Kluyveromyces lactis: one gene and its partners. The protein of the gene in region 4 interacts with the protein of the main gene of each other region in a pairwise test. Links are inferred from orthologs where the notes say so. Each region holds a gene or a part of one and is shown on either strand. Other genes may lie near its edges.

Region 1 (6,071 bases), on a different chromosome or scaffold from region 4:
AGCTATGGACCCCAATTGACCATTTGGCAATAGTGTGGTGTGATCAGTTGAGATATCTTTTGGCAAAATATATTCTCGAAATTGTCAATGATGATGCAGGAGGAAAAACCGCGACTTTAGATATTAGAATGCGCAAAGGAAGAAAGTTTTTCTTGAGTGGACTTGAAAGAATTACTGATGCAGATAAATTGATCGATAAAAACTTAAGCGCCCCAGCCGTAGATTTCAGCGACACAGAAAGTGTCCCTGAGAATCATTTACTTGTCTTAAACTCTTCTGAATCAATGTCCACAGGATATGCCTTCAATATTTCTAAGTCTGTCGACTATAGCTTCGAAATGCTCACATCACTCGTCCAATTCGATATTTTCTTTTGTAAAGACATATATGGAAAGGATTGTATTAACGGATTTTCAAGCTTTTCCAAAGTTCCTCACTCCACAAGTCTACAAAAATTCCCAACTGACTCGTCATGGGGAGAATCGGTGTCTCCTTTTCGCTTTATCTCATTAAATGGCTCTCTATTGCAGGGTTTCCAAATAATAGTTTTCCAGGGCTCAATGAAAAAGAAGGAAGACTTTGTTCTAGCAAAGTATAGCGATGATAAGAGCATTGAAACTGCAAGCGACGGATTGTGGAAACTATCTTTATTCCCTTTTAGAATGTCCTTAAAAAATAAACATTCTTTTGTCCATGGCCTAGCATTCCCAAATTTATGGTCCTCGCTAATCTCCTTCAATTTGAAAACAACTTTCTCTGACGAAATAGATAGCATGTTCAGACCGATGATGAGACAGTATGTTAATAATCCATATGAAACCAAATGGCATTTATTGGCTGCCTCAAGTTCTCATGAAATCAATATGCACAATATATCTCCCTTCATACCACTTGATGATACCATAGACAAGTCATTAAATTTGATGTTCTTCATCCCACCTGGAGAGGAAATTTCTTTAAGACTATCCATAAACTGGAAACTAACATTGAAGATGCTTTATATCAGATTCAGATTAGCTTTTGCATCAATTCCAATATCGATAATTGCTTTAGTCTTATGCTACCAGTTTTACTACTATGACAGCCCTGATAGTAAATTCATCAGCTTTGATACTGGTTTGATGAATGTTTTGAATAATCATAGTCTATTAATATTCCTCTTTTTATCAGTAGGACCGATAGCAATCAATCATAAGGCCATATTGACCTTGCTGCATTACTTAGACCCTATTTCTTTGAGCAAACCAAGTAGCGATTCTCATATGTTGAACAATAACTATATGCTGGGTCTACGTGAAACATTTGTGTGGTGGATTGGACCAGTCTTTTTCATAATCTCTGTCGCATTATTATTCATTATTTTGAGACTCATAAATGTCATCGAATTTGCAGTTATTAAAATTTCCTCAGCAATCACAAGATATACGCGTATCACATTTCCTGATCCTCTTAACGATATGACACATCATAAACTACTTTTTAATAACAGGCAATTACTGGGAGTATGTTTTATTTCTTTGGGAGTCATGGTCTATGTCCCATATCAGTTCGCATTCATCCTTGTAAGCTTAATTCAAATGTGGAACTGCATGAAGCTGGCAGTCTTTACAAACAGGAACAACGCAAAATATTCCAATATACACAACTATAACGTGTCATTCTTAATGCTAACAATATTCATGATACCAATCAATGCTCCAATAGTTGTCGTCTTCTTGCGTAATTTTGCGATTAGGTGGGAGACGGCCTTCAGATCGCATCATAATTTCTTAGCCATAGCACCAACATTGCTTCTAACATTAAGAAATAGTCAGTGCAATATTCCTATAATCAAGAACAGAATGAACTGGCTGATCGTTGTCTCAATTCTAGGATATTTATCCTTTTATTCTTTCATGTACGGCATAAGAAATTTATACTGGGTCTACCACATTTCCAATATCCTTAATGGGGTCTTATTCTTCCTAACAATATTATGAAACTAATCGATAAAGAGTAATTCTAAAGTATAATTAAATGAAATTAAAGAACCAGCAGATACTATGAGCTGCTATATGTATACCTTACTAAAATATATGATTGGTATGATAGAGCTCAACAGAACGTAAAAAACTAGAAACCAGAGACACAGTGTTTATCTTAATTCTTTGAATACGGTTTTCGATTGCATTAAACCGTCATCTTTGTTTTCATGAATTGCATTCACCCAAAATGCCCTTGCCTCTTCATCAGCATCTGTTTCTGAGGTATAGATGTTGGAAGCTTTCAATTGTTTAATCACTGTTGCATCTGTTGATCCTGGAGAAGAAACAAAATCGGACCTTTTTGCTCTATCCATAAAAGATTCGCCAGACTCTAAATCCATCTCCAACTGTGTAGATAGTTCAAGTTCCTTTGAACTACAACCATCCGAAGTTTGTGGTGAGTTACTGAAAGAGTATTTGTCACTAAAGGCTTTACCATAAGAGTAGGATGATGAATCATCACGATTTTGTGCAGAGTAAGGGTTGAATTGGCGATAGAAAGTACTGGCACTTGGTGCATCATTTGCAGCAGCAGCCCAGATAGATGTCAAAGGTAGGGAAAGAACTACAAGCAATGTAGCAATAGAAGTCAACGACTTAACTCCTTTATTGTTCAGCGCGTAGGCGAGAATATACAAAACCGATGGACCTATTAATGTCTGAGTAGACATGATGAGTAGAATGTGAAATGAGTCAAATTGTTTCAAACCTAAATGTCTCCTAGCTCTGAAAGCCAGGAAAAGTTTCACTGATAGAAGAAGAGTGATGAAATTTATTGAACATGCAAGTAAAATAACTGCTATGTTGTAATAATATGTGTCAACTTTGTTCAATGGACTATCATACACTACAATAATAGATTTTATTGCAGTAATCATCCACATGGCTACAGTTGCAGCACCAAAACTAGCGGAGACGCCAGTCAAAATGATTCCTATCTTCCTATATCTATCTGCTTTGAAAATGACTCTTACCTGAAAGACTAACGAGACCTCAATACACGCAACCAATAGACATTGAATTAGAGTCACGGCACCGTAAAGATGTTTGTCACGGTCGCCTATCATCTGTGGGAACAAAGTTAGAGCAAAGGGAACTCCTCCAAAATTGCTCAACAAATATGATAGATATAAAGCAGATTGAACAATTGTAAGAACCAAAGAACTCTGATTTATTATGAATATCGGCGTCTTTCTATTCTTAGAGACCATCCACATTATAATCAACGCTAATCCAGCAGCGCCGATCCTTGTTCCAAAAATAATTGCTTGGGTGATGTTTTCATGGACAAGATTTTGTAGCTGTTGAAATGTTATTTCAGTCCCATCTCCGTAAATTGAACTGTATGTTAGGACGGACTGCAATGGATTATATGTCTCATTGTAGAACAATGGGTTCAAACTGGGTATCTCTTCTGACATGTTAAATAAGTTAATGCTTATTGTCAAAACATTAAGGGTACTTTGACGTAAAAATTTGAAGGATGTCAAATCAACATTGAGTCTCTCAATCTCACCTTGTATCACAGAGAGGTGCCTTTATATAGTCACTTTTGAAGTATGTTCTCTTGACATGAATAAGTTTCATGAAGGAATGAAAAAAAAAAAACCTCAATAAGTTTCAAACCCAAAGCACATTTAGTAATCTCCTCAACTTGAGGCGGTTTTTCTTCAGCAGAGACGAATGCAAAGTCTTTTGCATTCAGGATTTTATTTCATTAAATTGTGTCAAACCGGCTGTAATCTATGTGATTGCCAAAAAAGGCAGTTACAATGAGATTGGATCAACAACTTTAAACGCATGTAATCATGGGCAAAAAAACGAACAGCAAAATACCCAAAATGGTCTATTCAAAGTTAGATTGCTTTACCCCGTTTGAACTTTTGGCGAGGAAAAGGACCAGCTGAATCATCAGACTCAAAGACTAAATTAAGACTATGGTAAGAATAAATAACACTAGATGTAGCACTAATAAATAATAATGATAATAAATAAATGAGAGTCTAATCTGCTTGGAGGTCAATTCTCCGATGAATTACATATTGCTTGGACAGAGTACCACACTAAAACCTTCCAAATACATATGCTCTCGAATCCCCCTTATCTTTATCCCAAAGAGTAGAGACCAAATCTATTAGTCCGTTATTTTCCGTTTCTAAAACATAAATTCCGTAAAGACTGAAGGAGCTTCCAAGTGCCAAAGCGAATTTAGCAGCCTTGTGCCAGAATCCGAATTTTCTCTTAGGGATATAGTCAATAATGCAACTTGTTATACCTAAGTACGCATGTATTAGTATTGTACTGGCCAATAGAGAATCAATCACTGGGAAGGGGAAACCTGATGCAAAGGTAGCAGAAGACATAGCTCCATACAAAGGAACCATTGTCAAAGGAACTAACGACACTGCAGTGATACGTTCATAATCCCAGTGATACGACCCATGGAACCAATTCGGTTCTGTCTTTGGTAAGTTATCGTTTACGTTTCCGGTAACTCCGCCTGGAGGTGGTGGGATTAACTTGTACTTCGCAAACTTACTGGAACTAAAAACAGCTGGTAGCCTGATACCTCTCAACTGACGATGAAGCAAAGAAGTTCTTAACATGACTGGAAGTGGCTTGTTTATCATTGATCTGGCAATCATTATGTCGTCTTGGCTGCCATCCTTACTTTTCAGGTACTTTTCGATGTATGCGAAGTGATGAGATGAGCTTAGTCAAAAAATATTTCATTTTTCACTTCATCATCGATAATGAGATTGGAGCAAAATTGATGAGATCTGAAAAGAATACAGAAGATGCAGAATAACCAGAAAGGCAGTTATAGCGGTAGTGGTTTCTGTTAGAGGCTCTATGAATTAATTCAATCGTAAAATTTACATTCTAATTACAATGTATCGGTGACAAGTTTTTCTAATGTAAACTAAACGATGGTCGTACTGTTTACGTTTTCCTATTTTTCACTTGAAACTGTTTGTCATGCGACAAAACAAAATGGTTAAAAAGTCTGTGTCAGTGTGGAATAAACACAGAAACTGTTCCTAACTAGCTAGAAAACGATCCATTACAATCGTTTTCTGTTAGGATGAAGAACTAGTAAACCATGTCTGTACTGAGTACGTTGCAAACAAATGTCACGGGACCATGGTTTTCGATACAAGACAAGCATCTTATAAAATGTGTGGCCTATTCATGGTTTTTGTTTATACTTTTCATACTTCAGTCAGTGCTAGCAGGGTGGATATGGTATATGAATCAATGGTCCAGAATCATTTCATCAAAGTATTATTACAGGGGTATTATGAAAACTGAGAAGATTCAAACCATGGTTAATATATGGATTAATGAATTCATTATATGGAGTGTGCTAAGAGAAGATATCCAAATTATTTACGAGGGGGAAACAATCAACACAAAATGTAAGAACCAACTAATACTAAGCAACCATAGATCAATTATCGATTATACTTTGATTCAATCCCAGTTCGGAGCTGAAAATGTAATTTTCGCAGGTTGGACTCGTTTAATGAAGTATCCCAGTTTTAAGCATTTTTGGACAATATTCAGGCATGATGAGAATGACAACGTTTCGGTATCAAAGATTAAGAAGTTTTATGGGCCTGAGAATTTGGTAATATTTCCCGAGGTGAATATCTTCACACCAGAAGTTAAATTGATTGAAAGAAAGTTAATGAAATTGAAATACAAAGGATTACCTGTTTTGCATAACGTTCTATACCCCAGATTTGGTACTTTCGTAAATCTGATCAAAGCTTTTTCAAACAGCAATGACAGAAAATGGTGTCGCATGTTGGAGTACCTTATTCTTCCGACAGAACCGATATTACGTGACTCAATGAAGTTACTAGATTTAACTTTGGTTTATTACAAGATCACGTTGAACTCAATGGGTGAGTATAAGTTGGAGCAAACAATTCCAGCTCTATGGGACATATGGTCGTTGGAATCACCAATGATACTATGCATCCACGCATCGTACCATGATGTTGATAAACTCACTAAAAAGAAACCCAAACAACTAGAAAG
Region 2 (7,049 bases), on a different chromosome or scaffold from region 4:
GCCAGGCGCCGCTGAAAATGTAAGTTCGTTCGATGACGATAGATTCAAGATTGTCTCTAATATCCCTGAGCCAGGAACGTCACAGGTTCAACAGGACAGAACTCCTGATAACGCAGACGTATACGACAAGAGAGATTCGGGCCTGCCTCAAGGGTATGAAACTGATGATTTCCCAGATATTCATGCCGATGGAGGGGATATTATGGATGATAATGATCCACTTCCCGATTCTTACAGGACTCCACCAAAGCCTACGAGGAGAGAAAGGCGATTTATGAGACAGTTACCGGAAGCCGACGAGAATGAAGAAGATGAGGATATTTCTGTCCAGCTCACTCCGGTAAGGCGAGAACTGGATGATTATAGAGACGTTCCCGATCTTATAAACGATGCAGACACTACCAGAGATGAATCTTTTAATACATCAGAAAACGCGTTGTTAGAAGACGAACTCGACGATGATTTCCAGCCTGGGAGTGAAGAGGAAGAAGATAGAGATTACGTGGAAGGAATATCAGGATTTCGTGATGCTAGCTCGGATAGCTCAGAAGATAGCTCAGATTACGATTCAGAAGAAGATGATGCTGTATTGAGCGACGTACGAAAACAGAAAAGAGATATTGAATCTGCATCTGACGTGTATGATTCCGACGAAGATTACATTCAGACACAAGCTAAAGATTTATTGAAAGACGAAAGTCCAAGTACGGAAGGCGGAATTCGTAGATCGAATAGAGTCAAAGTTGCACCGCTTGAGTACTGGAGAAATGAAAAGATCGTGTACAAGAGAAAATCAGAGAAGCCTGTCCTTGAGATTGAAAAAATTATCACGTATGATCATGATCAGGATGAAGAAGAGGAGCAACTACTGAAAAGTAAACGTGCTAAAAAGCAGGTAATGAAAACCAAGACAAGACCGTATAACTACATTCCGTCCGGTAAACCTAGAGGTCGACCACGGAAAATTAAGCCTGTGGATGATCAGAACATTACCGATCCAAACGCTCCAATTATTCAAGATATTCAGCAAGGAACTTATCCAAATGCTGAATGGCTGAAACAAGGTATTCTTCAATCAAAGGTCAATGTTACAGCTGATGAGAAGAAAGAACAGAATATATTGGCTTTTGCTCCTGGGTTAGCACAAACTGAACAGGTTACAAGCACAAACCAGGATAAATTTACTTTATCGATTTTATTCGATAAACACAAAGAAAGGTTTGCCAGCGGTATGCTTAAGCTTCCGCTCGATGGAGAAAAGACCCCTAGTGATTCACATAACGCTTTTATCAATTTTTTCGTTGTTAAAGGTGTTGTTGAAATATCTGTGGGTGATAACAAGTTTGTGTGTACAACGGGTTCTTCTTTTCAAGTACCGGCGTTCAACACTTACGGTTTTCTCAATAAAGGAATGACAGAAGCGCAACTTTTCTTCGTTCAAACAACCGTCCCTGAAGATTTTAATGGTGCAGATGACATTTTTGAAGATTCGGAGATGTCTTCTAATAAATCTTCGAGCGATATGAGTCTCACATCTACCTAATGTGAATGAAATATTAATAACACAACTATTCTATATAGAAAAAATAAAGTTTTAAATTCATGTAATGCCGTAAAACAGAAATGATTATGATTGTTCATCGTATTTGTCTTCATCGTTTTCATCATCTTCCATACTTTCTGCTAGTTTCTTCATCCTTGCCAGTTTAACCAACGGTGCAAGGGAGGTGTTCTCTTCCGCAATTTCAGTGATAAATGGATCTTCAAGAAGATCTGCTGCGGTTCCTCTGTCCTCTGGATCAACCATTAAACACCAATTTAAGAACATAGCCATTTTATGACTTAAATTTCCAGGATCCTTTAGCTTTGGCGTACCATTGGTAGCGATCAAATATAGAGCTCTTAGTGGTGTCTCATTCAGATATGGTGGTTCACCTTCTATCATTTCAATGATCATAATACCAAGAGACCAAATATCAACCTTTGGTCCATATTCTTTTCTTGATACGACTTCTGGGGCCATCCAGTACGGAGTACCAACCATCGTCGTTCTCTTCAAATTTACCTCGTTAATCTGAGCACAAAAACCGAAATCTGTTAGTTTGATGTCTCCGTTCATGGATAGCAAAATATTGTCTGATTTAATATCTCTATGAATGACTCCCTTTGAATGCAAAAACTGTAAACCCTTGAGTGTTTCTCTAGAGACGGCACCGATTTGCCCTTCAGTCAATATACAGTGCGTAACGACATCAGTCAACGAACCACCTTCCATGTATTCCATGACAACCCATAAATCACCTCTAAATAGGTATGAATCAATGAAATTAACAATGTTGTTGTGTTTGCTTCCTTTCATGACCAGAATTTCATTCACAATTAACTCTTTCTTGGGTTGTTTCTCCAAATTCATCTGTTTTATTGCTACTGAAGCATTTGTGCCCAATTCATACGCTGTGTAAACTCCTCCTGATGCACCTTGTCCGATTTTGATCAGATTCTTGTACAGTTTGCTTGGGTCTCCTGTTGTGCAAATCTCGGTTAATTTTGATTGAATTTGTTGATTCTTTCTTTTCCTCTCTTCCCTCTTTTTTTCCTGGGCCTTTCTTGTCTGGACATTAGAAGTATTCGATTCCTCTTTCACTTCCACAGCAAGCCCGGAAGGAATTGCAGGTATTGAGGATTGTTCCGGTGTTGTAGGAATTGCAGGTTTTGGTGGAGTAGGAGCCGCTCTTGCAGGCAATAAATTTGCTGGTTTTTCTGCAGCCTTTGGAATAGGAGGTAATGGTTGCTCACTTTTCAATGTTGGCATCTTCTTGAATGAGAAAATGCTTGATGACTGAGTATCACTTCTTTGCACTTTTGGTGTTCCATGGCCAAGCGAATTGATTGGTGAAGGGATTTCGACCCTACGGCTAACTGTGGAGGAACCTTGAGGTTTTGGAGCAGGCCGAGTCGGTATGAACTTTTCGTTGTTCACAGTTTCACTGAAATCGTTAGTGAGCAGCGGACCCTGTAAGTTACTAGAGTATGGGGTATCATTGTTTTCATTCGGAAAAGTTGCATCTGTTTGCATTTGCGGAGTTTCGAACTTCTGTACTGATGCAGTTGATGGGGTTCTGAAAGAAGGTGTAGATGCAATGTTTGCACCAGAGCCACCTCCTACTTTGAAAGTCTTGAAGACTTTCTCTTCTCCAGAGTTTTCAGTAACATCTTGGTAGAATTTTACAATATCCATCACAGCCTGGGGATGTTGCTGTTGTTCTTTCATACTAATGCCACTGGAAGTTAAAAGTTTCTCCCATTCATTTGGTAACCCTGTATATTCCCCTGTTTTGGAGTCAACACCTACATGATAAACATGCTTAGCATTATAAGGAGTAGAGATCTTAAATGCATTATTTCCACTTCCATTACCGCTTCCGCTAGAAATTCTTTTCTCTGAGTGTGAGTTCCTCTTGATGTTTTGAACGAATGTTGAGAAAACACCTTTCTTCTTAGTACCGGTCTTCCTCTTAACATCATTAGAGGAGGTGGAGGAATTAGAATTCCTCTGGGAGTGGTCAGGCGTCCCATGCTGACTCTTAACGTTTTTCCTCAGAGAAGAAAACGGAGAAGAAATGGTTCTGAAGGGGGATCTTGATTCTGATACTGGTGTTTGATTTTCGAAAAAGTTATTCACCATTACGGGAGTTTTAATTGGAGGATCCTCATTTGTTGTTTCTGGATGTGGTTCTTCTTCAGGTATTACTTCATGCACACTTACGTGTTTCGAATGATCTGCAGACGCTGTCGATGCCTTGTTGAAACTATCTGTAGATGATAATATCTCATTTAGCGGGGACTCATATACATCATTGGCATCAACTTCAGTTATAGGTGTTGTAATCTTTGGAGAATTTGAGGTTTGTGTGGAATTTAGGAAGTCAGAAGAAGTTTCCAGGGCCCCGCCCATAAGAGAGAGATCAGGTGTCATCCTCCCGCCAGTAGATATTCTACCTATATTTTGGGAGGAACCTTCTATAGTTGACATCGTCTTATCTCCAACAATAGATTCAATTGTCCCTGGCGTCTCCTTCGAAGTCAAATTATTTCCTTCTTCCACTTTTCCTTCTAGATGCGATATTAAATCTGCATCACCTTCCGATATACTTTCACTTAACACAGAACTGGAAGAGACTCTTGTAAATTGTATCGGTTCATCCAAAGTTGGCTGGTTACTATTAAAAATTTCCGAAACATTTGTTGGTACGGTGCCCGGTTTCCCTGGATCCATAGATTTATAATCTGAAAGGTCTTTGACGTAATGATCTTCGTCTGATTCTTGTAATCCTTTCACATCCAAACTCGCTGGTGCACGAGGTAAATCAAAGAGATCTTTTGAGACAGATTGTTCCCTAGTCTCCGTTACTTCTGTATGATCCTCTAGAGTTTGTACTGAAAGATTTTCACGATGTACATCCTCTTGTTTTGAATCTTGATTTTGACTTTTGCGTATGCTACTGGTGTCACTTTCTGTATTGCCACCATTTTCTCTCACGGAAAGCGCATCAAATGTGCCTGGTAACAATTCTTCAGTATATCCAGTATCCGTCATTATATGGAGACAAAGTAGTGAGTGTAGTAGCTTCTATCAAAAAAAAAAGGCCTGTGTCAAAAGATGTCTTGTGGTTAATTCTATCGACCGAACAAAAAGGAAAGGTATTCCGAAAAACACAAACAGGTCTGTAATGATTTCTAGAGCATACAACCGTCAGTAACAAAGCCTGCTGTGGCCGTGTTAATTTCTGTCAGAAAAAAAGCTAGATTACTTTGTTCAAAGAATAGAAGATCAAGTCAGATAAACAATGAAAGAAATGACAAAACGTGCTCTGTAAAATTCTTTCTACCTTCACCTCCTTCTAACTTAAAAACGAGAGCCTGTTGTGTAATTCAGTGTAACGAACGTCTTTTGATTGCTAAAATCACACTCTCGCCAAAACAAACAAATAATGTGTGCTTGTTATTAAAAAGATCCAAAAGAAGATGGTATTACCTGGTATTACTCTCTGAAATACTTGTCAAATCGGCAGAGATAGCCTGATTAATAAAATTTAAAACCTAGTTCTAACACAAGCCACAGTTAAAGCAACAATTGAGCTTGCTCGTTTCTCTAATCTGCTTATAAACATGCATACCATCTGATCTTTACATTCCGTTTGTTTAAACTCTTAAGCTTTAAATTTCAGTTTCAACATTTTCGCCAATCCCAAAGAGTAAATCCTGTCACATGTCACGAAAGTATGTGGTATTGAAATCTTTAGTTAGGGTGGAGTATGGTTAGATCTACAGACATCTCTATGTAGTTATATACATATTCTATGACAATAGGAAGGCTCCGGAACCTTCAGTCATTGCTTGTGCAATACGATCTTTGAGTACCAGTTTATCAGAGTATTTTGGTAGTTTCAAGTAATTGGCGCATGTCATAACGCTAGGTAGGCAATGGTCTGCCGAGATGTTCCCATCTGGGTGCTTCAGGACTACTGTGAATTTGGGTTTTAAGTTTTTGAAACCGCCAAGAGGTAGTTTCGGAGAGCCAGTGATGAATTGTAAGAACAAACGTTTCTGTTGTGTCGAAAAATTCGACAAAATATCTATGAGGTCTGTTATGATTGGAGAATCCATCGAGTAGCCATGGTCTGCATGAATGGATGAGTATAGCGTTTGCACAGACCAATCTTCAGCAACTGCACCAAACAAATCGGATAGTTCTGTCGGAGTTAAGATTAGCAATGATGAATAAGGGAATGATTTCGAAAATCCGTTCCTGAAGGCAGCGAGCTGCATATCTACGCCTTTGCCCAAAAATTGGTCAAAGACACGAATCAAGTACTCTTCCACGTTGAAAGATTCAACTAAGATTTTCGAACCACCTTCCAACAATTCTATATCATAACCAGGCAGCATGAAATATAGGTCAAGGTTTTTGATAGAGTCATCATGACGATTATCATACAAAAATGCGAGTGATTTTCCTAGTTGAACATCAAACTGTCCTACGAGGTGGATACAAGTTTCGAAGTCTTCTAGGTCAAGTCGATCATTCTTGCAGCATTTGTGCATCAACTCGAAGAAAACAGCGTTAAATCTAAAATCGAGAATCCTATTATCTAACATTGACCTAGCGACTAAGGTCCCCAAGTTTTCGAATAATTTCAAAGTCTTTTCGTTATTCTCCTCGGTGGTGCCCAATAATGGTCCAGGGAACAATGCACCTGTCACATACTCCTCCTCATCATCACTGGTATCACTATTGGTCTTCCACATTTTTAGAGACTTCCTTGCAAATTCTTTCGACATCAAAGAGTAAAATTCGAGAGTGGGTCCTAACCCTGTACCTTCTTCATCTTTGTATTCGATCTCCAATACGTTTGGCGAAGAACCATACTTTTTTAGAATTTTGATGCCGGACAAAAATAGTGAGTCTCTTGAAACCCTCAACTTGTGTCTAGTCAACCTGCCTAATTGATGCAATGGATTTTCAGTAGGGTTACTATGGTGCTGATCTGCCAGCTTTTCCCTCCAGTATTGGATCAATCTGCCATATCCATATGATGTATTCTGTAAGAAGTTCATTCTAGTTTCAAATGGAAACAAAAATCCATATTTTCTCGTGATATCGAGGACCCAACTTGGTAAGACCCCACATGCCACAATAAGTGGCTCTTCAAGTTGACGGGAAAGCTTAGCACTAATCTTTGGATTCACATAAATAGATGCTGGGAGTGATTTATGTTGGCAACATTGTAGAACTGTCAAAATACCATTGACAGGCTTCAAATCCGCCCCTTCAAAAGCTGTATCGGGGTAAAGCACATGCAATTGATGTGACTCCCTTCTTTTTACTGATTTCTTGAACTTAAAAGTAGGTACGTTAGTCCAGATACTCGTTGTGGGTAACCCTTCTTTCATCGCCTCTTTGAATATAATAGAGTAAATAGTTGACGATTGATCTAAAAGATGGTCATTCAACGAAAAGTCAAATTGTATGTTTTCAAGTTCTTTGG
Region 3 (5,556 bases), on a different chromosome or scaffold from region 4:
TTAGAAGCTTACTCCAGAAGCACGCGTTGAATGCATGAAACTTCCCCAGAGATTTGCATATTCAAAGTATCAAAATATTACTTCACGTGACTTCTAAATACAAAAACAATGGAAATCTTAATGAAAATGCTTGATACCGCATATCATCATCGCTAGAGTTGAATAAATTGATGATATAGAGCTGTGACTCCGCGTAACGTACCAGCAACCCATTAAACATGCAGGTTAACCATCTATTAAGGCAAGCTGTCAAACAGACCACTAGAGCGGGACGGCTAGGTTCGAGGAAACCTCACAAACCGCTCTTGCCTCCGTTACAATTGTACCGTAGAATCCTCAGAGAACACAGAAACTTACCAACGATGCAGAGAGAGTTGGGAGATCAATATGTCAAGAATGAATTCAAGTTGCATAAGAGTACTGACAATCCCTTATACATTGTTGGATTCTTAGCCTCATGGCAGGATTATCTGCATATGATTACAAGAGGTGAATGGGAAGAAGGAACTTTATCCACTGACCTGCTTGAAAAGATGTCACCAGAACAAGTTACCCAGTTGTACGAATTGATGAAAGAAGCTGAACAGCTGAAATCAGGTGGTGAATGATCTTCGGAAGGTTGTAAGACAGACATTTCCCAAATATTATATCTTTCCTCCAAATTCTCTCAAGTAGTGGGTGAGGAGAAGGGTTTATATACTCAACTTTTTGTTGCACGTGACTTCAAAAGACTTTCGTCTTATATTGAAAATTTTCTTCTCGACACTATTTAGTAGTTGTGTAATGAAAACTATGATTTAAAGTTAGTAAAGTGATGAGAAGAGATGAGCTGAAGAAATTCGCTTCAACAACTTTCAACGAATTTGTTTGGGTTATACACCGATCAAGATACCTCTCCACACACTTTCAATACGAAAGAATGGTTCTTGAACAGATGCAAAATGGCTTCCTAATTGTGCCGTTTTTACTACCTCAAGTAAAGAGTTTAAACCAGAAACCGACGAAAGTATATCATTATATGTTTGTGAGAAAGCATCAATCAAAACTGGAAAATGAACAACACTGCTTATTCCTAGTTAATCTACCTCTTTTAACACAACTCGAAAACTTGAAGAAAAATTTCCAAGAGATCTGTCATCAGAATGAAACCGTTTCGCATGTGCAAGATCTACTCTATCATGATGAGTTCGGATTACATGATGTTGACTTATCATCATTGACTTCTCATTTAATGAGTGTTGATGAACCTAGTGAGAAAAGATTTACGCCAAGAAATACTGCATTACTACAGTTTGTGGATAAGCAGTCCGTAGAAAACTGTTGGGAAGCACTAAGGAAATACTCTTCTAGCAAGAAGCAACAACAGATACTGTGGGAATTTCAATCCCCATCAATCGAGACATTCACAGCATTCTACCGTCCATTACCGTTAAAATATTTGAAAACGGATATACATGAACATATGGCTCTTTTCGAACAAAGAGAACAGCAAGCTCAAGAAGAAGTACAATCATCTATTGTTGATGAAGATGGTTTCACATTAGTAGTAGGAAAGAATACAAAATCATTAAACAGCATAAGGAAAAAGATATTCAACAGAAATCCATTATTAAAGCATGAGAAACCTAAGAAGATGCCTAATATGGTTGACAAGAAGGCAAAGAAGGACTTCTATAGATTCCAAGTCCGTGAAAGAAAGAAGCAGGAAATTAATGAGTTGCTAGCCAAATTCAAGCAAGATCAAGAAAAGATAAAGGAGATGAAGTCCAAAAGAAGGTTCAACCCGTACACATAATTATTTGAGAAAACTTTCCTGATAAGGTGCTCTATTTGTTATTTACTATAGTTGAGAATGTGTCTTTGTACAACATACGTAACTCTTATAGAAAGAGATAATTAATCTATCAATACAATTATTCGTTCATGAAAGCTCTAAAATGAAAGTTTATGGTTGCTTGCCAAGTGTTTTTTCCAGTTGATGAAGGAGGAGATAACAAACATTATAGCCTACCTCCCGGTGTTGCTGCCATTTCTCCCACTTCCTCAAAGTCACCTTTTTGTCTTAACATAATTGCAGGATGCAGGCCTTGTTGTTTTAAAGACTTGAAGATCTGTACTGGTTTTTCATCGAGATCAAGAACTCGTTCTTGATCTCCATAGCATATCACTAAAACATGCTGTCTCCAATCCGTTTCATTCAAATTGTGCCTCTTCATCGCATTTCTTAAAACCTTTTCACATGAATCCTCCTTTGAGGCACGTAATTGTTTCATAGGTTCTGAACTTGGAGCTGATGATACTCCAGCTCCGCCTGGAGTATTCGCCGATCCGGGTGTGGTGGCAATATGTGACGATGAAACATTTCTGGTGCTTGAAGATTGTGGTGGCAGCCCTGGATTGGAATTCGATCTGTATTTGGGTGATGATGGCGTGTGTGAAGAATGGTGTGGAGCTCTATCGAAGTAATCTTGCGAAGAAGGTTGATGTTGAAGTTGTTGAGAAGACTGAGAGGAACCTGAACCAGATCCACTGTTCCTCTTCACGATTTCCAACAAATCCAATCTGAGTTGCGCATAATTAGATTGGAATTCTTGTAACTTTTCATTTAACGTCTGGTGTAAGCCTTTCATAGTCAACACTAATTCTTGTTCCGGTGCTTGTTCTTCCGTGTCAACAAATTTGTTTATGCATGTCTTAAGCCTCACGGCACTAATGCTATCAGGACATAACTCCTTGCAATCGGCAAGTGTGATTTCAGATAACGTAGATCCAGTTATCTTGTTCTCTCGTATTCTATCTAGGATGAATGTATCTCCGTCCGTTAATCCAAGTTCTGCTTTGACTTTCTTGCAAACCTCCTCAGTTGACCATTCATTTGTACCGCTCATTATTTGTTTTTGTTTCTATGCCTGTTCTTAAGAGATGTAAAAACACAATTGAATCACTGGTTAGCCACTGATCAATATGCTTCTGTTGGCTCAATGATATGCTCCACAGACTGAGCTGTTCCCCGGATCTCCTTTCATCAACTTTCTGGTATCACTTGGTTTTATTCAAATAATCGATTAAGTTTAAATATAGATTTTCCCATATTGTCGGAAATCATAAAGAAATGACAAGGAACCCTGCGAATATTCTGACATAAGATTCCTGGGGAACGGGGTAATCCTGTTACTACATTCGCGCTAGAAGTATTTCGATGCAATCGTAACTTTGATTCATTTATTTACAGGACATACGTGTGGAAAATATACAACTATCTATCATTCCAACGGCCATGGTTTATACTCTTTCTTTCCAAATGTCATCGGAGGTACCTTTCCTTTCTTGGTTCTTCTGCCACTGCTCTTTGTGCCATTCCTGTACCTTCACGGGATCTTTACTATGGATCACACAAAACTTAAATTTCTCGAATTCTTTCAGACATTCGTTCATGTGGCCATGTCTGTAGTAATTTCTAAACTGACCTCCTAAACTGAAACATCCTGTTAACTGATCAAATGCATCAGTGCAAGACATTGTTGTTGGATAATTAGATGACATAGTGTTGAATATCGTTTACAGTCTATGATATTTTCTATTTGGTAAGTAGCTGTGGTAATGGTCAAAACTGGGCGGACTGGTTTGCTGCTTCCGTAATCAACCTCCTTCTTTCGTTTTGTAGATTGCTCTTTATTGACAAAGATGTTTAAGCTGTAAATTATAGAATTTTGGATTTTTTCAACTAGCTTTCTGCAAGAAGCCGATGAGCCATGCTATCGTAAAGAGAAAACAACTGGAAACTCGCATTTGTAATCACCATCGGATCTATTGTTCAGCTTTCATTATTTTGTTGATAGGTATAATTCTTAAAGTTTTACCACTCCATAATTGTTTCACACTTTTGATGCTCTCAAGAAGTTGTTCAAGGATTTTATCTTTAAACTTATCAAAGCAATTTTACAGAACAATGAATAGCACCGGTAAATGGAATCCGAGTTTGACTTCAGAACAGCTAAGAGTACTACGTGATAAGGGTACGGAGAGACCAAACACAGGAAATTACTTGCACAACAAACAAACAGGGATTTACTCATGTGCAAATTGCGATTTGCCTATTTATAAGAGTGAGACGAAGTTCGACTCAGGCTGCGGATGGCCTGCGTTTTATGATGCTATACCGGGATCTTTAACTTTTACTCGCGATGAATCGTTTGGGATGGTTCGTATAGAAATATGCTGCAGTAGATGCGGTGGTCATATGGGGCATGTGTTCGAAGGGGAGGGATGGCAGAAAATCTTGAATTTGCCAACTGACCAAAGACATTGTGTCAACAGTTGCAGTTTGAACTTCAAGGAAGGTTAGTGCTCACCAGATTAGGCAAATAGTTGTAGGTTTGCAATTATTTAGCTCACTTAGTTATATTAGGTGTACAATATTACACAATTAAAACAGATGGCTCTACGGTTTTTTACGCTCCGCCAGGAGATCGCATCAATTCTTAATTTTATTGTTATCGCTAAATGGATCATTGGGCTGAGCGGCTCCACCTCTAGATGTGTACGAAGGTATTGATGCCTCATCAGAAATGTAAGCTTCGTTGTCCTCTTGATCATCTTCATCACTGTCACGTTCATTCAAAGAAGCCATGTCTCCTTCTTCGGCTAATTGGTCAAATGCCATCAATGCATTGACCAACTCCTCGTTAGCATGGAGTAAAGCACCTAAAAGTTCACCACCGGTAATCAGTTGCAAATAACGTAGAACCTTCCTTCTCAATGCTCTTGCTTGAACGAATTTGGCCGTACACAGCTCACTGTCGGTGGACTTACTATGAGCTGGAATTGCCAACAAAGCATTCGATAGAGACACTGCGGTTTCTAAGGAGTCGCTAATCAATAGTTTAATCTTAGGAGCTTCCTTCTCAAGGTCAATTCTTGGAATCCCATACCGTTCATCAGCGGTGACAGCTCTTCGATCGGCAGTGTCACTTAAAAATTGAGGTAATGCTTTCTTTTTCTTCTGATAAGATTTGTTCATGACCTTGGTATGTCTTTTCTTGTTTTTGTAAGCCTTTTCACAAACAGTAAATAGCATTTCAAAACCTTCAACCTCCTGGTGACTTGCCAAATATTGATACCACCCTATTAGATAACATGTACATTTTCTTGAAATTTGTTTTGGGTATTTCCCTGAATTAGAAGACATATCCAGAAGAACGTTAATCAATCTGAAATCGGAATAGAACAATGGTAAATGGATGAGCTGGGAAACAAATAAGTTTAATAGATCCAATGCCCTTGATTGTTGGTACAGGTCACCATGCTTTAATCGTTTTCTAATCGCCCTAGCTGCTTCTACTTGATTGGTGTCGGTGTCACCAGTTCGAATCAACTGCAGTATGTTTCCTAATTCAACTTCTAACGTTGCATTTTCTGATATAACGGCCTTATTGATGGATTCCGTAACCGAAGTATATGGATGATCAGTGAAAAACCCCATTAGTGTATATCAGATGACGTGCAAGCTAATTTTTATTTTCTACTGCAACACTATTGGTCTAACTGCCCACTAGG
Region 4 (5,873 bases):
GTACTATTATGTAAATGTATCATTACTGATTATATCATTTGATATTGCTTGGTTGCATAATTGGTTGAAAACTGACGCCGGTTCACGTGACCTGTCGTATCTCCGGGTAAGGTAATTTTTATCCTCGAAAACAGCGGCATAAAAAAAAGAAATTCAGAAAAAGGTTTGTCAATGTAATTCTTGGCTCATAATGTCAATACCAAGGTGATGAGATGAGATTATAAAAACTGATTCACGGAAGCAAAGGTTTGATATAGGTTCTGCTTGGCTAAGACAGACCTAATTGACTAGTATAATTACGGAATGCATCTGGAGATATACTGTGCAAAATGAGTGATGTTGTAATAGAGCACGATATCCATGTGTTCGATTCGATACTCCGAAGACTACCAGAAAAGACACAAATATTGCTTAAAACACTTCCATTATTAGATGGAGTGACAGTCCAACTGCTTCGGTTTCTCTCTGCTAATTCACTAAGAACTATCCTAGCTATAATATCAGATGCCAGTCCAAAAGCGTTTCCTCTAGAACAAGACCTTTATCATTCTCTGCTAGCATTATTCATAAAGCTCGTATCACTTTACAACACAAAGCCTCAACTGTTGAGAGTATCGCATATTTTCCCAGGTGTGTGGCATGACCACCATCCGTCACCTTCTTTTATACAGACACACGAGAGGTACATCCTTTTAGTTCTTCGAAAGGTTAACATATGTTTGTTTTTGTTGACTCTTTTGAAAGAGTTGCCCTTTGGTATCAGCTTCTTAGCTGACAACTTCATTGAGGTCTTCTGTTTTAACGTTGACAGTTCAAAAGTGGAAGACCTTATCACTGCCAACAGGTCCAGAATAGTTTATGGAAGACTATTAAAACCGCAGACGGTTTTATACCTTGATTTGATGACACAGTACTACATCAGTGCGTTGGTTTCATCTTCGACTCCACACACCAGCAAATCACCACTATTGGATCAAGTTTTCCCCGACACTATCCTGGATGATATCAAGGATAAGACTATAAAATATGCTGGCAAATATATGCAATTGCAAATACAATGCACTGAAACAGATTTTAAAGAAAGATGCAAGCGACGTAAGACTGCCATTCTCGAATGCCCAGACTTACAAAAATTGATGAAGAAATACGATTGGGAGGAATGTTGTAAAGAAGTGTTTTCTTACGGGATTAAGCGGGCAGATGTCTTGCTCTATGGTAGAAGAGGCAAGGGATTGAGTTCTGTTCCATCTCGTACACCAACACCTGTAGAAACAATACCAGCTCCGGTACAGAGCGAAACACTTCCAGTTGAAGAGGGGGAAAGCGATCTAGTTGAAGAGTTGCCCAATACTATCAATACTACTGAAGCTGAGGTAGATGTTAAGAGTACAGTGCTAAGGACCAATGAACCTCAAAGAAGAATAGACTTACCCGTTAAGCCCTTCAAGACAAAACCTAAGCAAAAAAAGATGTGGACACAAGAGGAAGAAGATTGTTTGAAATCCGGTTTGAAACAGTGCGGACCTGCATGGGCCAAAATATTATCTCTGTACGGTCCTGGAGGAACGGTGTCGGAATCTTTAAAGAACAGGTCCCAAGTTCAACTGAAGGACAAGGCAAGAAATTGGAAAATGCACTACTTAAAAAATATGAAACCAGTTCCAGAGTACTTGGAGAAGGTGACAGGTGATTTAGAAAGAGGTCTGAAAAGCAAGAAGAAACCCAAATCCAAGCCCAAACCAGCGGTCTGATGTGAGCGTCGGGAAAGCGGGACCAATTTAGCATATATAAACTCGTAGTTATCATTGAATGCATAGTCATAGTATCATCTCGTCCTTGAATAACCTTATGCAGCAGTTTTTCACAACAGGATCTATTCGATTCCCTAATCTTTACATTTTTTTGGTTTGTGGCCAGCAAGCTCTTTCATGTGGGAACATTAGGTATATCATAGTATCATTGCATCATGATAGCAAATTCGACTACATGTTGCATTCGAAGTTAGGACTCTAGAACAGTGGTTTTTTTTGGTTGCTACAAGCCACACATCATTAACCGTTCCTGGTACCGGAGACCTTTTCCCCTGTCACCGAAAACTGAACGCAGTAAATGCCATAACGCCATAGTAAATGTATCTAAGTAAGGTGTGAGAGCTATGTGATAGTCTGCGTCTGTATTGAGTGTTCGCGTAGGCTTCCTTTATTTTATTTTTTCACCTAGCGTGGAGATCGTCTTGCAAAGAGCGACAGTTTTTGAGGTTGTCATTTCACAAAAACTTGGTAAGATCTGTCTTGTTTAAGAGAGGCTTTTCTAGGCATCATGTGAAATATACAACGCTGTTTCACTGGGGAGCTTCGACACTGGCCCTTTTGAGGATACAATTCCTCATGCTGTAGAACGAGACGCTAAGGAAAGCACGCTTGAATATGTGCATTGATATCTTTTATATTACTTTTGCTTTTATTTGGAGTGTCTAAATCCATGACTGGAAGTTTGAGCTGCAATTAGCAATTGAGTTACATAGCGAACTAAATAAGGCATTGGTTCATTAGGATTTAACAGCAGTACAGCATATACATCGAAGTTGACAATCTGTTAAACAAGTGAAATAGCAGAGAAAGATTGCCTGTACAGCTTTGGTTCGGAGGTTTAATGTTGTTTGCAAAAATGACATGACTTTTATGCATGATATATATATACATGATGGAAGAAATATGGTCGTTTCCTTTCGCGGCGTTAATGGGCATTTTTGGTACATTGCCTTGTTCATATTTGTAGTAAATTAGTTTGTTGTGAGTAAATTAGGGATATATATATATATGAAGGTCCTGGAGAGGAAATCAGCAGAAAGGACGAAATCTGTTTCAGAGTGCCTCTTAATCGAATCGCAGATTCTAATGCTGGTGATCATTGATTGAAGTTTGCAAAGTTCGATACTTACTCATTTCATTTCAACCCCCTTCCTTTCCTTATTACAGTGTCTAGTTGCAAACAGCATCCAAGATGGAAGTCGATTCAGCAGAATATGCAATTCGTCCACAGGAACTGATTGTGCACGATTACCATTATCCCAATATGAATTCAGCTGGTACAGTGGAGGACAAAATAAGGACAGCAAAGACGGAGTGCAAGCAGTTATACGACCAAATCAACAGAATTAAAGGCAAAATTCAAGACACTCAATTGATGAACTTGTCTCACGGCGTCAATTCATTACACGAGTTAAACTTACAACCGGTTCGAACTTTGAAAGGACATAATAATAAAATCTCAGACGTAAAATGGAGCCAGGATTCGGCAAGCGTACTCAGCTCGAGCCAAGACGGGTTTATAATCATATGGGATCCCTTCACTGGGCTTAAAAAAAGCGCTATCCCCTTGTTATCCCAATGGGTCTTGAGTAGCGCTATCAGTCCCAGCGGAAATCTGGTTGCAAGTGCGGGTTTGGACAATCATTGTTCAGTGTATCGTGTTTCAAGAGATAATAGAATACAACAGAATGTGATTTCCATCTTCAAGGGCCATACCTGCTACATTTCAGCTACGGAGTTTCTTGATGAGAGGACTATTTTGACTGCAAGTGGTGATATGACATGCGCTATGTGGGATATTCCTAAAAGTAAAAGAGTTACGGAATTTATAGATCACTTAGGCGATGTCTTGACCATGGATTTACCACCAGCAAACACTGGTCGATATGGTCATAATTTCATCACCGGAGGATCGGACGGGTATGCGTATCTATGGGATGTTAGACAGCCGAATTCAGCCCAAAGTTTTTTCATCAGTGATAGTGATGTTAGTGCCATCAAATTTTTCAACAATGGAGAATCCTTCATGGCGGGTTCAGATGATGGTAGCGCTAGGTTATTTGACTTAAGAAGTGATTGTCAGATATCGACGTACTCATTTTCAGACGGTTTACTTCAGCAGCACCAGCTTCAACAACAACATCATCCTCATCCTCATTCTCATGCTTATTCTCGTATTCAAAAAAATCGGTATGGCTCATCCTCTTCTTCAACTTCGTCTTATCCAATTGTAAAAACACCTCAATCTTTGAATTTCAAGGAAAGTTGTATCGAAGATCAAGGAGTCATATCAATAGATTTCAGCTCTTCTGGTAGATTGATGTACGCTTGTTATGCGGATTACGGGTGTGCAGTATGGGATATTATCAAAGGAGAAATGATTGGCAAAGTTGATGGTCATCGAAACAGAATAAATGCCGTCAAGACGAGCCCTGATGGAATGGCAGTAGTGTCTAGCTCATGGGATATGACCCTAAAAGTTTGGACACCGGTTCATCAGTGAAATGATGAACTGAGAATGGTAATGCATATCGAAAAAAGCCGCAAAATAGCCCTTATAATACTACTGAAACCGCTCAGTTTGGCTCTTGTTCATCGCAGTAAGTGAAACTTTAAGATGCAGCTGAGGAAGCCTCCACCAACCTGCAAATTTTATTGAGCAGCTGGTTCGGAATTTGAGACAATAATATTACAATGTCATCCTCTTGATGACGTCTCTTAGCAATTTCTTCAGATACCGGAGGAAATGTAACAATTGTATTAATTACCTTTTGAATAGTATCAACATCAGATACCGATATAAGATTAATAGCCCTTTGTAAGTTTGTAACTTGACCCAAACTTATTTCATCTTCATTGTAAATTGGTACACTGCCAGAATTTAATAACTCTTCCCGCAGTTTGGTTTGATGGTAGGGAAACCTTCCCTCATAATCAACATTGTACGCATTATTATCGAAGGATAGTTCGTGATGAAAAGTGTAAGTTGTCGAGCAAAATTTGACCTTTGCTATTATCTTTAGCTCAAACTCACCCCAACCTTGCTCATCTAGGGTGAAGGGAGGTTCCGTGAGTTTTCGTAGTGGTCGTTCAAATGTGGGATGAAGGTGATAGGTAACATAATCAAATAAGGTGGCCGGTTGCTCGTTTCCTTCTTCATCTAATATAAATAATTGCATTCTCCATTTCCTTGTCGGCAGTTCGTAGACTTTAGGAGCATCTGGTAAAATAATTTGTTGAGTTTTGACTCTTATTGTTCGAGGAACGTAAGGCTGATATGTTTGTAAACAACCACTTGTTAGTGACAATGCTGCTAGTGACAAACGTTATGGCAATATTAGATTAAAACATACCATTACAAAATCTTTTTCCATTATGTTAAGTGTTGACTTGATGCCAATACAGTTTTCTATCGACGGCTTGCGGACCGTTGTGCTACAACAATAGTAAAACATAATGGAGTATTGTGATATGCTATCATGTAGAATTTGATTCAAACTATTATTTTTTTCAGAGATAAGCTCATCGGTAGGAGGTCGACAATAATTAAAGTCAAGTCCAAGGGCGAATTCAATCAAATATTTCAGTGCAATTTTCCCTAGGCTTGATTTGTCTATTCATTATAGTGTTCATTTGGTACTTTTTCTGCAAGCAGTGCCTGTTAGTGGAGATGTAAGTTATAAAATACAACTACATAATTGTAATGGTTAAATTAGATAAACATGTGAGAGGTCCGGTTACTCGGTGTTTTTCTTGACGTATTCCCATAAACTCTTCAATAGACTTTCAGGCAAGCTATATAAATCAATAACGAACTCACCTTCTTCGATATTGTTCGTAATATTCATTTCTGGAGTTTTGTTATCAGTTATCATTTGTACTACTCCAACCAATGTATCCTCGTTTAGTTTTGTTAAGCCAAATGCTAACTTTTCCAAGTTCACAGAGCCTTTCACTGTTGAAGCGGAGGCGGTCTTGGCTTTTTTCGTTTTTACATCACCATTGACAGTAGATGCTTTTCTCTTGTCACCTGGAGTGGTGGCAGCTGTCGCTGTTGCATTT
Region 5 (6,789 bases), on a different chromosome or scaffold from region 4:
ATGGGATGCTTCCAATATACTAATGGGACTATGTTGGAAACATTACGATAGGATTGAATGGTCTTACGGCAATCAAACTGATTTGTTGTACGGAACATTTGTTTTGAGAAAATCTCACATATTTGAATATCGTAGGCTTAAAACTTACCCCAGATCCATACAGAAACCCATCGATAATCACACTGATACCGTTAAGGTCATTAATGAGCCCTCGCCAATTGAGGGTTTTTTATCTGAAAACAATATTGTTTTCAGCGATAAAAATGAATATAAACTCTCACATCCCTATTTTAAGCTTTCCTACTGGTTCACTTCAAACGGGCTCTTTTTTAGGACTAGATCCGTTAAGGCTACACCACCACTACCGGAAGATGACGTAATCGATCCATTCGGAGTAGTATTAGATAAAGCCAGGCTAGATGACTTAATTGAAACCATGCCTAGAGTGTACGAAGATAATCCATATCCATTAGATGAGAATGGTCATTTCGCTTGGTTAAACGAGAATATAACAACTGCGGAATTTGAAAGTCACGACGCAAGAGCTAGTAGATCATTCCTGAGAAAAATATCACTAATACTCAAAGCGGATAATTGCATTGACTTGACTCGTTGTACAGATATCAAGCTTTTAGATGCATCGGGCTTCAATATTAAGACCATGAAAATATGGAATGAAGCAAATAATATGGTATGGAAGAATAGTCAAACACTTGAAGCAACGAAGTCTTCTATTATAGAGTTAGTAATTGGTAAAAATGTCAGTAAACTACTCATGGCGCCTGATCCGGAGACATGTCAAGAGTGGTTATCACGACTACGTGAAATAGCCTTCTACTGGAAGCGAAGACTAGCTGCTGATCGACAGCTTCTCTGGGATTTGAAAATAAAGAATCTCAACACCTTCAATATAACTGAACTTCAGGAAAAGCACATATCTGCATTTGTTCCGAAATGGATGACAGAATTATCAACAACAAACGATCATATTTACAACGTCAGCGCTCATGCTTTGTCGCGTCCTATAATACACCAAGGATTAATTTATCATAAATCCAGAAAACATTCAGTATTCAACAAGCATTTCATGGTGTTGATTCCTGGGTTTATAATGTTGTACCACTGTTTCGATAGATCCATAAGGGGCTACGCGAAAGATTCGACAAAGTATAGACATTTTTTAACGATTCCGATAGAGAAATGCTATCTATATTCAGGTGCCCTCAGTGAACAGGAACTCTTGGACCGAGACAAAGACTTTAACTCTATTAATCCAGGTTCTCATAGTCTCTCAAGAGTGTATGCTGACGGATGGAAAAGCATGGATGAAGAGAGTAGTAGGACTTTTGTTATGTGGTTTCCAAACAAAAGGATAATGTTAAGTTCAGTAATAACACCAGAAACTCCGGACTCTTCAAAATTTCACGTTGTTGATAAACTTGGAGTCTCGGGAAAATCGATGATTTTTATGTGTCGATCCAGGCAAGAGAGAGATTTGTGGATGGTAAAAATATATGATGAATTAGAGAGAGTGAAAATGTTATAAATAGTCGTACATATGATTTGATTGCCGGTCTTCAATAGATTCACTAATACCATTCATAGATCCTGTCAAGTCAGCCTGTACGTGATTTTCCCAGGATATAGGTGATGAAAGCCGGAATGTTCTATTCTTATCTGGAACTGAATCCACTTCAAAATCACTAGAGGAGGTACTGACACAGTCACTACTATCTAAATCATCATCAAAGCTCAAATTAAAACTATAGGCAACAGCTTCAAGCAATTCGTTCCAGTCCTGAATTTCAACGAGTTCTTTGATATTATCACTATAATCTACATTCAGAAAGCCTACTTTTATTTTTAATTCATTTGGATGCCGTTTGCCTGCATCAGCGAATATTCGATAATCGCTAAAAAGACATGATTTACCATTCTCCATGGATGAGTTTGATAAAACAACAACCCCAACATTTTTGCATATTTTCTGTTTTTGCCGATACCATAATTGGTGTAAAAGATCTGGAGAGAATGGTTGATTACCATTACTTTTTATCGGACCAGCCAACGAATTGAGAACATCGTTAGCAGTTCCGCAATTGATGACCATTCCTTCAACATCAACAATACAGCAGTTAAAAGTAGAAAACTTCCAAGTCAAAGCTAAAATGACGTTCTTGATCGAGACGATATTATCTTCATTAGTCTTTCTTTTATCTAATTGCAACACCAAATTTAATTCATTTGGTGTTGCTCTTTTGATGGACAAAATGGATGATATTGAGGTTAACACGGATGAATCTCGAATTGTTTTAGGGATAAGGGTTTCATTTAAGGTACTCTGTCGTCTGACAATGATTGTACCTGTATCATTGGTGCTAGGAATGCAAGCCACAAATTCGGGAACCTTGATCGAAGTGAAATCATAATTTCCGAACGGCAAAGTAAGATCAAATAGAGCTGTTATCCATTTTTCTAAAGCTTTTGTATCCAACCCATAAGGTTTAATAAGAATTCTTTCCCCAGAACGAGATTTTGATTCAAGAGTAGTTGCATCTAATAAATCTAGTTCAGGAGGATTATTCAATTGGAAACAACGGTAGCTCGAGAATTGAAGAACATTTGCCGAAGTAGCAGGAGATGGTCGACATACTAGTAAATATTCCGAAAATAGGTAGCAAACCTGGTGTTGGAAATTTATGCCATCTAATGATATCAAAAAATTATCTATCAATCGTAAGAGTCCATATTTAGCATCAATTTCCCAAGGCTTGACTTCGCTAAAACTATTCAAAAACGCTTGAATGAAATACTGCCTTTGAACGTGCAAAGAAGGCAGTTGACAGTCATCTTTCGAGGAAGATGATACGATGGACGACAAGCCAGAAACCGTACTTCCTCTGAAGTTGGATCTTCTTTTTATACTGCGACTCCTATGCAAACGGATGGAATCTCGAAGAGATGGAGTAACCGTTTTCCCTGGTTTCAAAGAAAATGCAAAAGATAACCTGATATCGTTATTTCTTGCAGTTGTTCTAGTAGTCTGCAAATGTGGAAACGTTTCATCATTACCTGAGTGCTTGGGTAAGAGGTCTGCATCGCACAATTTTATCCGCTCGTAGTTTTCTTGAGGATTATACGGTTCGAGTCCAACACTTTCACCGTCATCAGGTAAGGTTAACAAGTGTGACCTTACCTTCTGTCGCATATCTTCCTGTCCCGGTATGCATGACATACTACAGATGTCGCATTTCGGCAAGGCATCATACAGGTTTGATTTATGAGGAAGAGGTCGTAAACTCACCATTAAACAATCTTCATGACACATATGGTTACACTCCAAAGGGATTACCTTCTCATTAGAACCCTTGAACGAACAAAGATCTCCGCATATGCAACATCTCTCATTTTTCCAAGACTTATTACCATTTTTTCGAGTGGGCTTCTTTCCTAAGGTCTCATGTCCAATGGGAGAGAGCATTATGGGTGGAGGCGGCATGATCGGATCTACCAGGAGGTGCTTAGGATGCTGTTTTGACACTGGTCTTATGGGAGAACTATCATAGAAGGAAGATATCATGGATGATGCAGTCGATGGAGTACCAACTGAAGGCGTCTTCACTCTCTTCTTAGAAAAAAGCTCTGTCCATCTTCTTGGCGATGAGGTATTGGACCCTGAAGTGGATCCTGTATCCAGTTTAGGCACCGGGGAGGATCCCACATTAGTCAATTGAAATAAGATATCCTGAGAATTCATTGATGATGTATTACCTCTAGACATTTCTAGCAAAGTAATAGTTAATATGCTCTAGTCAGCCGTAGTGTTACTCTTAAATTCCTTAAAGTTTGAAGACTTTTGGATGTATTCTTAATACTTTGAACAATAATTGTTCAGTTATTCAATTGATAGATTAGCACATAAGTAACGATATCATGGTAGCTACTTTGGAGAATTCACTAAAAGAATCTCAAATCTCCCGGAATCTGCAATCACTATATTTTCCCCTTTCATCATGATGCCATTTTGAGGTTGTTTCAGATTTAAACATCAACGGTCTTAAGTAATGAATAATTTTCTTCCCTTAAATGAAAACAGAGATAGTGATGAAATCAGGACAAAGTGTACATTTTAGGAAGTCGATGAGTAGGGTCCTGCAGTGACTCTGGAACCAGGGTGACAAAACTGTCTCTAGTATATCTATGATACTTTAATTCAGTAAATACAATTTATATATAGACTAGATGTAAGTCTAGTAAATAGAGATGAGATGATTATTGGGGTAAGTCGTCGTGAGATCAGTCATTAGAAAGGTGAGTAGATGATTCAATGATGGACAAGGTATTGTAACTTTTCATCTGTCTAATATGCGGCTTCGCATTTGACGACATTGTATCGTAGCAACCAAAAAGGGGAGAGACAATTTATGGTGAAGAACAATGTCAGATTAGTTTACAAAACCTAGTTCACAATAAATCATGTTTATAACAGGCGCAAGATCAACGTAAGAAAAGAAGATTGTAGCACGAATTATTGAGGTAGTTTTTGGGAGTAATGAGAAAATTCTGTATCGTTGTTTTGTTTGGGAAGAAATTAAAACGCAGGTAATCCGTAATGGCAGGCATCAGTAACCAGATAATGTTCTCGGCATTGAGAATAAGCATCAACGAAGTCTCATGGAGAGAGAGAGAATGAGAAGTCACAGATGAACATTCATGTTTTAAAACCGAAAAAAACAGTTATCTGAATAGAAACCATACCGTGAATGAAATGAATAAAAAACACTTGTATCTAAAAGGTGTTTTTTTATGATTTTGGTACTTTAATATTGATTGGTGGAAAATAGCAGATGCACTATACAAATAGTATCATCTTGTGAACCTTATAGCATAATATTGTGAAAGGGCAGTTTATAGGAATATAGTTGTCTTTCGAAAAGGGAAGAGTAGAGAGATGGGAATAAAAAAAAGGATAAACGCAAAGAAGTTAACTTTAACGTTCAATTACCTAATTCGTTCTTGCTCTAATCTCTGAAAGCAAAGCTCTTCTTAGCAAAATCCCAAGTATCTTCTTGCAATCTACCTCTTAGGGTTGGAGTTTCAGAACCTGGAACGTAGACATCCTCGAACAAGATGGACATCTTAGCTTCTGGAGCTGGGGCAGCATCAGCTAATTCGACTTGCTCATCGACGTACTTTCTAGCAGCCTTGTCGTAAGCCTTAATTTCATCTTCCGTGGCGATACCCAATTCCAATAAGTGCATCTTTAAACCTGCAATTGGATCGTTCTTAGATCTCATGTGTTGGATTTCATCTCTGGTTCTGTAAGTAGTACCTGGATCAGACATAGAGTGACCACCATATCTGTAAGTTTCGTATTCAAGAACGATTGGACCGTTACCGGAGACAGTCCAGTCCTTAGCGAACTTGGAAGCTTGGTAAACAGCCAAGATATCCATACCGTTAACCTTCAAACCAGGAATGTATTGACCACGCTTGAAGTATTCAGTCATGGCTGAAGATCTTGCGGCAGCGGTACCCATACCGTACTTGTTGTTTTCACAACAGAAGACGGCTGGTAAGTTCCATAACTTGGCCATGTTGAAGGATTCGAAAACTTGACCTTGGTTAGAGGCACCATCACCGTACAAGGCAAAAGAACAAGCATCTTCGTGTTTGTATTGATGAGCGAAGGCCAAACCAGCACCCAATGGGACTTGGGCACCAACGATACCATTACCACCGTAGAAACCAGGGGCGTACAAGTGCATGGAACCACCCTTACCGAAGGACACACCAGTTCTTCTACCCATCAATTCAGCCAACACAGCTTGAACAGCAGCACCTCTCATGTAGGTGAAACCATGACATCTGTAAGAGGTGATGACGGTATCACGCTTAGTGATAGCGTTTTCAATACCAACGGCAATGGCTTCTTGACCGACAGAGGAGTGACAGAAACCTCTAATTTTCTTAGCCTTGTACAAAGCGTCACAGGCCATTTCCATTCTTCTAACGATAATCATATCCTTGTACATTTGTAGCAAATTGGACTTGGTGGTTTGATAACTTAATTCAGGAACATCCAAAAGATAACCTTCAAAAGAGGTTTCTGGCAAATCAATTTGAACTAGGTCATCATCACCTGGCTTAGTTTCATCAGCAACCTGGGACAAAGCACGGACGTTTTTAGAAAAGTTTCTAACCAATCTCAAAGAGCTGGACTTCCCAACCACAGAGGATTGAGCTTTCAAAGATAGCATGGTTTGCCTAATTTATTGTTCTTTTCGGTATTAACTACTATAGCGACCAACAATTAGAACACACAAATACACACTCAGCAGTAGTGATGGCAAAATATGTTGTATAGAGAAGAAATAAAGAAGAAGAAGCTCTGAGTTCCTGATTCTATATTAAAACAAAAAAAAGCCAACTAATGAACGATTCCTTGTTCCAAAAAATTTGACAAAAATCAATCAATCAATCAATCAGTCAGTCAATTAATCAATTGCTTGGCTCAGTATCACTGAAAGACCAAAAAAAGGTTCTTAATCACGCAACAACTGTTTCTCATCATATTCACAATTAAATCCGCCTTTAAATACTTGTGAACTTGGGAAAAAAACTTCAAAAAATTTCGTAGCCAGCCAGTCGGTATAGATAAGGGACTTGAAATAACAAGAAGTGGGTATAAGCAAGGTCAATTTTGCTCTAATTGGGGTCAAACTTGAACCGTTGGGTAGCTGATGATGCGGAGAGTATTGATATTCTACTTATTATGGGATATCTGAC

The links.
Region 1: the proteins of STE4 (region 4) and STE2 interact in a two-hybrid assay, tested with the Saccharomyces cerevisiae proteins (2 studies listed by BioGRID). The link is inferred for Kluyveromyces lactis from reciprocal best matches to the Saccharomyces cerevisiae genes STE4 and STE2.
Region 2: the proteins of STE4 (region 4) and STE20 interact in binary tests that used the Saccharomyces cerevisiae proteins (3 or more experiments, as listed by UniProt). The link is inferred for Kluyveromyces lactis from reciprocal best matches to the Saccharomyces cerevisiae genes STE4 and STE20.
Region 3: the proteins of STE4 (region 4) and STE50 interact in a two-hybrid assay, tested with the Saccharomyces cerevisiae proteins (2 studies listed by BioGRID). The link is inferred for Kluyveromyces lactis from reciprocal best matches to the Saccharomyces cerevisiae genes STE4 and STE50.
Region 5: the proteins of STE4 (region 4) and STE5 interact in binary tests that used the Saccharomyces cerevisiae proteins (3 or more experiments, as listed by UniProt). The link is inferred for Kluyveromyces lactis from reciprocal best matches to the Saccharomyces cerevisiae genes STE4 and STE5.

What each region holds. Positions count from the first base shown.
Region 1 is NC_006042.1:2,330,862-2,336,932, reverse strand, and holds STE2 (alpha-factor pheromone receptor STE2), read right to left. Parts: upstream 3,446-6,071; coding exon 2,135-3,445; downstream 1-2,134. Other genes in the region: BST1 (Bst1p), read left to right, coding at 1-1,979; TIM18 (Tim18p), read right to left, coding at 4,088-4,669; MUM3 (Mum3p), read left to right, coding at 5,128-6,071. UniProt on the Saccharomyces cerevisiae protein: Fungal class D1 G-protein-coupled receptor that acts as an alpha-factor pheromone receptor performing pheromone-dependent signal transduction involved in cellular conjugation, mating projection assembly, and in cell fusion.
Region 2 is NC_006038.1:1,189,140-1,196,188, reverse strand, and holds STE20 (mitogen-activated protein kinase kinase kinase kinase STE20), read right to left. Parts: upstream 4,598-7,049; coding exon 1,628-4,597; downstream 1-1,627. Other genes in the region: MIF2 (Mif2p), read left to right, coding at 1-1,543; putative ubiquitin-protein ligase UFD4, read right to left, coding at 5,359-7,049. UniProt on the Saccharomyces cerevisiae protein: MAP4K component of the MAPK pathway required for the mating pheromone response, haploid invasive growth and diploid pseudohyphal development. Links the pheromone response G-protein beta gamma subunits to downstream signaling components.
Region 3 is NC_006039.1:103,144-108,699, reverse strand, and holds STE50 (Ste50p), read right to left. Parts: upstream 2,889-5,556; coding exon 2,001-2,888; downstream 1-2,000. Other genes in the region: SDH7 (Sdh7p), read left to right, coding at 219-608; RRP7 (Rrp7p), read left to right, coding at 815-1,795; EMI1 (Emi1p), read right to left, coding at 3,283-3,543; MXR2 (peptide-methionine (R)-S-oxide reductase), read left to right, coding at 3,746-4,345; LSB5 (Lsb5p), read right to left, coding at 4,475-5,482.
Region 4 is NC_006040.1:583,286-589,158, forward strand, and holds STE4 (G protein subunit beta), read left to right. Parts: upstream 1-3,003; coding exon 3,004-4,314; downstream 4,315-5,873. Other genes in the region: TBF1 (Tbf1p), read left to right, coding at 330-1,751; KLLA0_D06809g (uncharacterized protein), read right to left, coding at 4,424-4,990; KLLA0_D06831g (uncharacterized protein), read right to left, coding at 5,549-5,873. UniProt on the Saccharomyces cerevisiae protein: Implicated in the a- and alpha-factor response pathway. The beta and gamma chains of the putative yeast mating response pathway G protein play a positive role in initiation of the mating response.
Region 5 is NC_006042.1:1,100,900-1,107,688, reverse strand, and holds STE5 (Ste5p), read right to left. Parts: upstream 3,782-6,789; coding exon 1,541-3,781; downstream 1-1,540. Other genes in the region: SPO71 (Spo71p), read left to right, coding at 1-1,546; PDA1 (pyruvate dehydrogenase (acetyl-transferring) subunit E1 alpha), read right to left, coding at 5,022-6,260. UniProt on the Saccharomyces cerevisiae protein: Component of the pheromone signal transduction pathway. It mediates pheromone signals acting between STE20 and STE11. It is absolutely required for pheromone-induced transcription of FUS1. May play a role in cell-cycle arrest in response to pheromone.